Linked DNA regions of Oryctolagus cuniculus. The protein of the gene in region 1 binds, or shares a complex with, the protein of each later gene. Links are inferred from orthologs where the notes say so. Each region holds a gene or a part of one and is shown on either strand. Other genes may lie near its edges. The genes, in order: CAPZA2 and S100A1.

Region 1 (4,262 bases):
GGTCCTGCTGCTCTGCTTCCCATCCAGGGCCCTGTTAATGGCCTGGGAAGAGCAGCAAAAGATGGTCCAAGTGCTCAGGCCCCTGTTGCCTATGTGGGAGACCCAGCTGAAGCTCCTGGCTTCGGCCTGGCTCAGCACCGGCAGTTACAGCCACTTGGGAGAGTGAACCAAGGATGGAAGATCTCTCTCCCTCTAACTTTGACATTCAAAAAATAAATAAATAAAATCTTGAAGTCTCAGAAGGGTTGCCAAATTTCACATATGAAAGTAAAGAACATCCAGTAAAATTAGAAACGGGTAACTTTTCAGTGTATCTCAAATGCTTCATTGGACACTTTCTTTTAAAAAGCCATTGTTTATTTGTAATTCGTATTTTGCTAGTTGTCCTGTATTTAATCTGGCCACCCTATTAAGGATGGTAGGATCCATTCCCTGGCAAAAGTGCAGCGCCTCCCCCAACTGCTCAGTGTGTGTCTGAAGAATAGAGGAAGTGAGTTATTTGAAAAGAGAGGTTTTGGGGCCAGCACTGGTATAGTAGGCTAAGCCTCTGCCTGCCAGACTGGCAAATCATTTGGGCTCCAGTTTCTGTCCTGGCTGCTCCTTTCTCGATCCGGCTCCGTACTAATGGCCTGGGAAAGCAGTGGAAGACAGCCCAAGTCCTGGGGTCCCTGCACCTGCGTGGGAGATCTGGAAGAATCTCCTGGCTCCTGGCTTCAGATAGACCCAGATCTGGCAGTTGTGGCCATTTGGGGAGTGAACCAGCAGATGGAAGATCTCTGTAACTACCTCTCAAATAAATAAAACCTTTAAAAAAGTGAGATTTCTGCCTTTTTGCGCAACATTGAAAATCCCGAGACTAACACGATGCCCGGTGCACAATAAAAGACCAATAAACGTTGAACGAGTAAACGAATTTACCTAGCACAATCTCACAATTACGGACTGGGATTGTGTGTGCCTGTTTTAATTAAAGCCGAGTATTTATCTAAGGATCCTATTTGTACGCTTTTTCACATTGGAGCTGGCAGAGTTCAGGACTCGATGGGAACGAATCAAGAGCTCAGAATGTACTCGTCGCAGACGGGGCCCATATGGTCACTGGTGGGGAGAAATCCCCGTTCGTTCTCCGGAGGCTGACAAGCCTGCGGCAGGCAGCAAGCGGCAGGCGGCAGTCGGAAACGCTTCCCTCTCCCGGCTTCCGAGGCGCCCGCGCCTGCGCACAGCCGCACTCCGGGCCCCCAGGGCCGGGTTGAGGGAGGCGGGGCTCCCAAGGCGCGTGCGCGGCGGTCTGGGCGGCGGGCCCCTCCCTTGGCGGGGGCGCGCGACACGGAGGACCGCACCGAAAGGGGGAAGTCAGGTGGCCGCTGCCGCCGCCGCCACGGTCTGTCGCCAGAAGGAAGATGGCGGATCTGGAGGAGCAGTTGTCTGATGAGGAGAAGGTAAGAGCCGCGGGGGCGGCGGCGGCGAGGGTCGGTGCGGAGCCGGGAGAGCTTCGGCGTGTCACCGCCGAGTCTGGACGGTGGCGACGGGCTTTGGCCGACGGGCTGTGCCCTCGGCTGCCCTTCCTCCCCCGCCTCGCTGTGCCCTAGTGCCTGCCCCTGTCAGTCAGTCGAGGCCCCCGCGCGGGCGCCCGTCTCTGACGGGCCTGCTCGCGCCGCTCCTTGTAGGGTGTGTGCTCCGAAAATAGGAAGCGGGCGCCGGGCGGCGGCTGCGGGCCCGGCGCGGAGGGCGGGGGCGGGGGCGGGGGGCGCGAGCGGAGGGCGGCGGCTGCGCGGGACCCTCTGCCTCGGCGCCGGCCGCGGGGCCGCTGCGCGGAGCACCGGGGACTGCAGAGGGGGTCTGTGTTCCGGCCTGGGAGAGGCCCAAGGGCAGTGCCCAGCCCGGCGGCCTGGCCTGGAGCGTCGCCGGGGGTGAGGGGGAAGGGGGAAAATCGCTTAGGAAGCACTTGGGCCTTCCACTTCCCCCGCCCCATCGCCAGAAGGCTGCCTTTCCTCCTCCTCCTCCTCCTCCTCCTCCTCCTCTCCGGCTTCCCTTTTGCCTACGGAGGTTTCTTGCTTTTTCTTTGCTTCGCTTTCGCTGGAAGCCGTGCAGCTCCGTGTTCCTTGAGAGGGATCCGAGTTGCTCACAAAAAGACCCCTTCCCGTAGTTCTTTTCTGCCCCGGTGGGCAGCAGCCTCCGGAGGCGGGGGGCGACCTGGTGCCACCCCGTTTCTTCCTGCTGGGACTTCTTCCGAAGCTAGGCGGTGCAACTCCTTTTAACCGTGTGTTCGATGCTGTGACAGCAATGGAACCAGATGAGAGACTTAAGTCCTCAGACGTGTGAAATAAGAAAACCGATTCTAGAACTAATTCTCTCTTATTCGCCCGTTCCCTTTGGCTGCAGGGGAAGGCCTGGTTCTCGGGGATGGGCGGGGTGGGGAGGAACCCTAATAATTTTTGACTATTTCCTGGAGAGGACCTTGATGTTTCTCAGACTTAAAAGTATCTAACACGACGTGAATAAGATAGTGTGACCGTTTTGGAAATGCCCGTCTGTAACCATGCTGCGTGCCTATGTTCTCAAAATAGTAAGGTTTTGTAGGAAACACAGGCAAGTTACATTACGATGTTTCACAAACCCTAATATCAGTCTAAGGATACTTTTATTTCTTGTGTTCTTGCATCAAAATCTAAGATTCTCTTTCCCCAGCTGAGTGTGCAGAAGGCAGCTCTGTCTTCAGTTTTAAAAGTGTTTTCTGTCTATGAAGTGGTAATAAAGAAACAACAACAGAAAAAAAAAAAAGAGGAGGGGAGAGCAACAAGATTCTCCATAATGGACAGGCCCCTGTCGGAGATCCGGCAAAAGTTACTGGGCACTGTTCATATGTGTGGTATTGGTAAACAGGCCGGAGGTGGCAACTCAAAGTGGACATGAGCAAACACATGCATACACGGTTCAGTAGTGCGGTTTCTCGAAGAGATTGTTGTGCCTTTACTCAATCATTCTGAAGTGGTTGTTAGTAGTTCAAGTGGCTAAAAATGTAGTTGGGGAGAGAGTACTCAGTGTGGGAGTTAATACAGACCTGCCATGTGTTGCAAAGGTCCGGAATAGCAAAATGAGATGCCAAGATCCCTTATTATCTGGCACTCTGGGAGCACCAAGTTCCAGAAGGGGCAGAAGCTGGCCATCCAGCTTGCCCAGCATAATATTGGATGAGTGAGTGAAAATTCCAGCTTGGATTTTGGTGTTTCTGTTTTTATTCAGACTTTTATGAAAATATTCTGTAGATATTTTACATACAGATTTCATCCCTGTATATGCTAATTTAAGGAAAAAACAGCTCAGTCAGTGGAATTTTAATACTCGAATTATGAAAATGCTTTTTTCAATCTTTGGGGAGAAGGATGTTGGTAAGGGATGAGAAATTGTGATATTTTTAAACTTAAATTTAAATCATGTTACTCTTTCTGCTCCTTTATTTGTAAGCTTCGAAAACAACCTTTTTGTACTCTTAAGCTTTGAAATTTTCATTCTGAAAGGCAGATCTAAGGGAAGGGAGCTGTTAAGATTTGTGTAAAACCCTTTGTATATAGACAAATACATTCTTAAATTTGTTATGAACTTGAGGTGGGTAGTTTTTTTTTTGTTTTTTTTGTTTTTTGACAGGCAGAGCGGACAATGAGAGAGAGAGAGAGAGAGAAAGGTCTTCCTTTGCCGTTGGTTCACCCTCCAATGGCCACCACGGCCGGCGCGCTGCAGCCGGCGCACCGTACTGATCCGATGGCAGGAGCCAGGAGCCAGGTGCTTTTCCTGGTCTCCCATGGGGTGCAGGGCCCAAGCACTTGGGCCATCCTCCACTGCACTCCCTGGCCACAGCAGAGAGCTGGCCTGGAAGAGGGGCAACCGGGACAGAATCCGGCGCCCCGACCGGGACTAGAACCCGGTGTGCCGGTGCCGCAAGGCGGAGGATTAGCCTAGTGAGCCGCAGCGCTGGCCTAGGTGGGTAGTTTTATTATTACCATTTCACAGATGAGTAAAGAGAGGTTTTAAGAGCTTTAAGTAATTCTTCCAAGGATAACTAGGTAGAAAGTGGCAAAGATGGTAGTTGGATCCAAGTTTGTCAGAGTTCAAATTCCATGCTCTTGTGATACCATGTTCTTTTAAACAAAATTGGTTACGCGATCCTTTTCTGGGTTTGTCTCTGTTTTTAATTTGTTGACAATTTTTTAAAAAGGAGAAACAATGGTTCTTTTAAAGTAAAATTTGTAGATACCAAAGATTAA
Region 2 (4,400 bases), on another chromosome or scaffold:
CCGCCCCGGACGCCCACTCCATGCTCACGTCCAGGAAGCCGGAGAGCTCCGTCTGCAGCAGCTCCTTCAGTTCTTTCTTGCTCAGCTTGTACTTGTCCCCCTCCTTGCCCGAGTGGGCGTGGAACACATTGATGAGGGTCTCCATTGCCGTCTCCAGCTCAGAGCCCATTGTGGCAGTGCACCTACCCCCCAGGCCCCCCAGAGCGAGGCAGTGAGCTGGGGACCAGGTCTAGGGTGTCTGGGGTTTGGGTGAGGGAAGCCTTCAGGCCTGGCCTTGGTCCCACAGCTCAGAACAGCTGTGAGATTGGAGTCCTGTTGCCTCTTATCTTTCTCTGAACTTGTACCTTGCAGGGAGACCCTGACACCTAAATTATCAGACCTGTGCTCTGTAGCCGAGCCAGAGAGCCAGGTTGGGGCATAGAGACACAGCCGCTGGCGCTGGTGGGCTCCAGAGGCCTGCAGTGGACACTCGCAATGGCTCCTGGCCGCCTGGACAGAGGCTGCTGAGGGTGGGGCAGGCAGGATGGTCACAGGACCAGTCTGGCTTCCTCTGGCTCCGTTTTCTATTTTTACCCTGGACCTTGCCTGCTGAGTGCAGCTAAGCTCTTCTGTGGGGGGTGGTGGGCTGGGGTCTCCTCTAAAGCCTACTCTGCCACCACCCTTAGTGTTTGGTAGTCTCTTTGGTACTTGGGTGGTACCTGATGGCAGGAGTGGCAGCCGGCTCGGGGGCCCCCAGGCCTCTTGGGCAGGGAGTCTCACTGCTTCCCAGCCACCTGTCAGCAGCTGGGCCCCCTTTGGTCCTTCAGCTCATTCTCCTGAACAGAGTCCTTGGGGCTTCTCTGGGGCACACTTCCCACGATCTCCAGGCTGTTTCCTCTGACTTCTCTGTAAAACCATCCCACCTCGGGGATGGGCGATGGGATGGGAAGGGAAGGAGGAATGTGCAGGCCTTTGCCCAGGCTCCAGGGCTCCCAGGGAGGGGAAGAGGAGACCTGGAGGCCAGCCTGACTGATGGGGGGCAGTGGGGCAGGGGCTTGGCACTAGTATGTTGGGAGAGGGAACGGGCTGAGTGCATGAGGTCTTTTGAGTTCAGGAGGCCTGGGGGAGAGCAGGAGAGTGGAGGGGTCTGTTGGGGAGAGGAGGGTGCCAAGCCAGGTGGCCCAAGGGGCAGCTCAGATGTCTCAGCTCAAATGTCGCCATCCTTCCCTGGTCCTGGGGGACTGGACCATGAATGGGCCCTGATCAGATGACACCCCAGTTCCTCAATGGGGCCCTTGTGAGTGTCACCTGAACTCTGGACATGAGAAGTGGTTGTCACAGAGACACAGGGGAGATGGAACCCAAGCCGGGGCTGATGGAGGGGATAAAAGGGTGCCCCAGGGAGGGAGGCCGCTGGCTCAGTTACCAGCGCCATCCAGGAGGGGCCTAGGATTTTATGTGGGGGTGGTTCTGAGAGGGCCTCAGGTCAGGGCAGATGGGAAAACTTGAGAGGAAAGAAATGGGGGGAAAGAGGCTGAGAAAGGGAAGGGAGGGGGGTCATGGTACCCGAGGACCTCTCTTCCTGATGTCACATGGGCTGTGCTCTGCCACCTCCAGACCTCCCTGGGCTTTGAGCTGGCAAGGTCGGTGGGGGTGGCAGAAGCTGAGCTGGCTGGAAGGGAGGCAGCGACACACCTGTTCTGCTTTCCTCTTCTAAGCCCTGGGGAGCAAGACCCCCTGCTGAGGCCCCTCCCCATGGGGGACTGAGGGAGCCTTGGAAGGGGGCCCAAGGGCTGTGGGAGGCGGGGCCCTGGAATCTCAGTGGCACAGTCCCCCCTTGGCTTCCTCACTCATTGGGCTCCCAGCCCCCACCACCTCCCAAACCTCATCTCCCCCAGATCCCAAACCCTGACCAACCTCTCCCAGACCCACAGTGCACCACAGTGCCATAGGCCATGGGCTCTTGGAGCCCCTCTGAAGCCCCCTGCCCCCAGGTGGGCCAGGCCAGAAACCCAGCCCGCGGTGGGGCGGGATACTCACAGTCAGCCTGAAGTGGGAGCAGGTTCCAGCCAGAGGGCCAAGGCTGCAAATGTGGCTTCCGAACTGTGCGGGACCTGTCTTCAGCCGGCCTTCCTCCGCCCACCCTGCCCGCCGGCTCCACCCCTTCACGGACAGACACCTCGGGGGCAAGGGGCCAGGAACGGACACAGGCGCCCTCTGTCTCCCGGGCTAGAACAGGCTGCCCTGTGTCTCTTCCCTGCGGCGGCTGCCGCCACCCCCCTCTCTGCTCTCTTGCTGGGCACAGGAGGAAGCAGGCGGGAAAAGACCTGCAGCGGGACCACTGCCCTGTTTCAGCGCCAGCTCAGCTGTGCAGCTCCTGAGGCTGCTGGGACCGGCGGAGGGCAGATTCTGCCGAGGGGGTCTCAGCCTAGGCGCCTCCACCGGAGTCTCCCTGAGCGGACCCCTTAATAAGCAGTTCAGTCTTGGGAGCCTCTTTGAGGGGTTTCAGCAGAGACCCCGCTGAGAGCTTTCAATCTGAGGACACCCCAACGGGGGCTATCTCAGCCTGGACTCCGTCTGTTCGTGGGCGTCTCAGCCTGGGCTGCCCCGACGGAGGCCTTGGGCTGCAGGGTCCTCGGTGGGGTTCCCGTGCTGGGCGCCCCATCGGCAGTCACCTCCTCTACCCTCCCCCACCCGACGTACACACTGCGGGATAGACACTGGGGTGTGGTGCAGCGCCCCCAGCCCCGGGAAGGAAAAGCCTCGTTAAGACCCCGGCTAAGCCGGGACCATCCAGGCAGCTCCGGGCAGCGCCCCCCAGCGGGGGCAGGTGGGGCTGGGGGCGAGCCGGGCCCCGGGCCCGAGTGCACGGGGGCGGGAGGCGTGATTGGGCGGTCCTCGGAAACTTGACCCAGTCGGTTGGGGAGTGGCTCTCGCCTCCTCCCCCCCGGCGTTATAAACCTCAGCCCTGCGCTGTCGCTCGCCGCCGCACCCAATCTCTTGGTCCCGGTGAGTTGCATCCCCCCCCAAGCCTTGCGGGGAGCCTGGGGAGTCTGTTTTCTTCCTGGACTCCTAGCTCCCTCCCCCGGAGCCAGGTCAGGCAGGGATTCAGGAAGTGGCTTGGGGAGAACCAGCTTCGTCTCCGCAGGAGTGTGTGTGTGTGTATGTGTGTTGTGTCTGGTTGTGGTGATGTGGGGGTGTGGTGGACCGAAGGGGGAGGGAAGAGCTGCGTGTCCCCTTCCTCTGGCCCTCCCCTGCCCGCCCGGGGCTGTGAGCGCCGGTGCCAAGCCCTCCCTGGGCAGGGAGTCCGCTGTCACTGGAAGGCTCTGCCCCTGAGGAAAGGGAGGATGGGGAGCAGAGAAGATGGGGCTGACCGCGCTGAGCCGGCCCTGACCACAGCTGGACGTGTGCCAGACCCTGGGCTTCTCTGTGGGGAAGAGCACCCACCCCCAGCGTTAGCAAGCTTTGGCTTGAGGCTTTCAGGCTGGGCAAGATCAGGAGGGACAGAAAACCCACAAAATGGCCCCCAGACTCAGAGGACTCCAAAGAAGGACCCCAGACTGAAAAGCTCCTCCCAGATGGAGGGGTCTCCGTAGTGAGTTGCCAAGACACAGGCGCTTTATCTTTTTTGTTTGTTTGAAAGGCAGAGAGAGCCCGTGGGCCCATCTGCTGGTTCACTCCCCAGATGCCCACAGCAGAGAGAGGTCTGGGCCAGGCTGAAGCCAAGAACTGGGAACTGCATCTGGGTCTCCCACTTGGGTGGCAAGAGCCAAGTGCTTGTGCCCTCACCTGCTGCCTTCCAAGGGAGCGCATTAGAGGGAAGCTGGAATTGGAAGCAGAGCTGGGACTCGAACCCAGGCACTCCCATATCAAATGTGGGCATGCCAAAGAGTTGTTTCTTCTTCTTCTTCTTCTTCTTCTTCTTCTTCTTCTTCTTCTTCTTCTTCTTCTTCTTCTTCTTCTTCTTCCTCTTCCTCTTCCTCTTCCTCTTCCTCTTCCTCTTCCTCTTCCTCTCCTCCTTCCTCTTCTTCTTCTCCTTCTTCTTCTCCTCATTCTTCTCCTCCTCCTTCTCCTTCTTTTTTTTTTTTTCTTAAGATTTATTTATTGGGGCTGGCGCTGTGGCACAGTGGGTTAAAGCCCCAGCCTGCAGCGCTGGCATCCCATATGGGCACTGGTTTGAGTCCCGCTGCTCCTCTTCCAATCCAGCTCTCTGCTATGGCCTGGGAAAGCAGGAAAAGATAGCCTAGGTCCTTGGGCCCCTGCACCCATGTGGGAGACCTGGCAGAAGCTCCTGGCTCCTGGCTTCGGATCAGCTCAGCTCCGGCCGTTGCGGCCAACTGGGTTCACTCATTTGGGGAGTGAACCAGCGGAATGCTCTACCTCTCTCTGTAACTCTGCCTTTCAAATAAATAAAATAATTC

The links.
Region 2: the proteins of CAPZA2 (region 1) and S100A1 are in contact, whole or in part, in an NMR structure (PDB 2KBM), measured with the Rattus norvegicus proteins. The link is inferred for Oryctolagus cuniculus from reciprocal best matches to the Homo sapiens genes CAPZA2 and S100A1. Residues at the interface, in NP_001009180.1 of Rattus norvegicus: Thr267, Lys268, Ile269, Asp270, Trp271, Asn272, Lys273, Ile274, Leu275, Ser276; in NP_001007637.1 of Rattus norvegicus: Ser44, Phe45, Leu46, Asp47, Lys50, Asp51, Ala54, Lys57, Ile58, Glu61, Leu78, Ala81, Leu82, Thr83, Ala85, Cys86.

What each region holds. Positions count from the first base shown.
Region 1 is NC_091434.1:152,377,755-152,382,016, forward strand, and holds the start of CAPZA2 (F-actin-capping protein subunit alpha-2), read left to right. Parts: upstream 1-1,300; 5' UTR 1,301-1,400; coding exon 1,401-1,439; intron 1,440-4,262. UniProt on the Homo sapiens protein: F-actin-capping proteins bind in a Ca(2+)-independent manner to the fast growing ends of actin filaments (barbed end) thereby blocking the exchange of subunits at these ends.
Region 2 is NC_091438.1:44,676,829-44,681,228, forward strand, and holds the start of S100A1 (protein S100-A1), read right to left. Parts: upstream 2,878-4,400; 5' UTR 2,020-2,877; intron 1,700-2,019; exon of another isoform or gene 1,546-1,699; intron 183-1,545; 5' UTR 170-182; coding exon 29-169; intron 1-28. UniProt on the Homo sapiens protein: Small calcium binding protein that plays important roles in several biological processes such as Ca(2+) homeostasis, chondrocyte biology and cardiomyocyte regulation.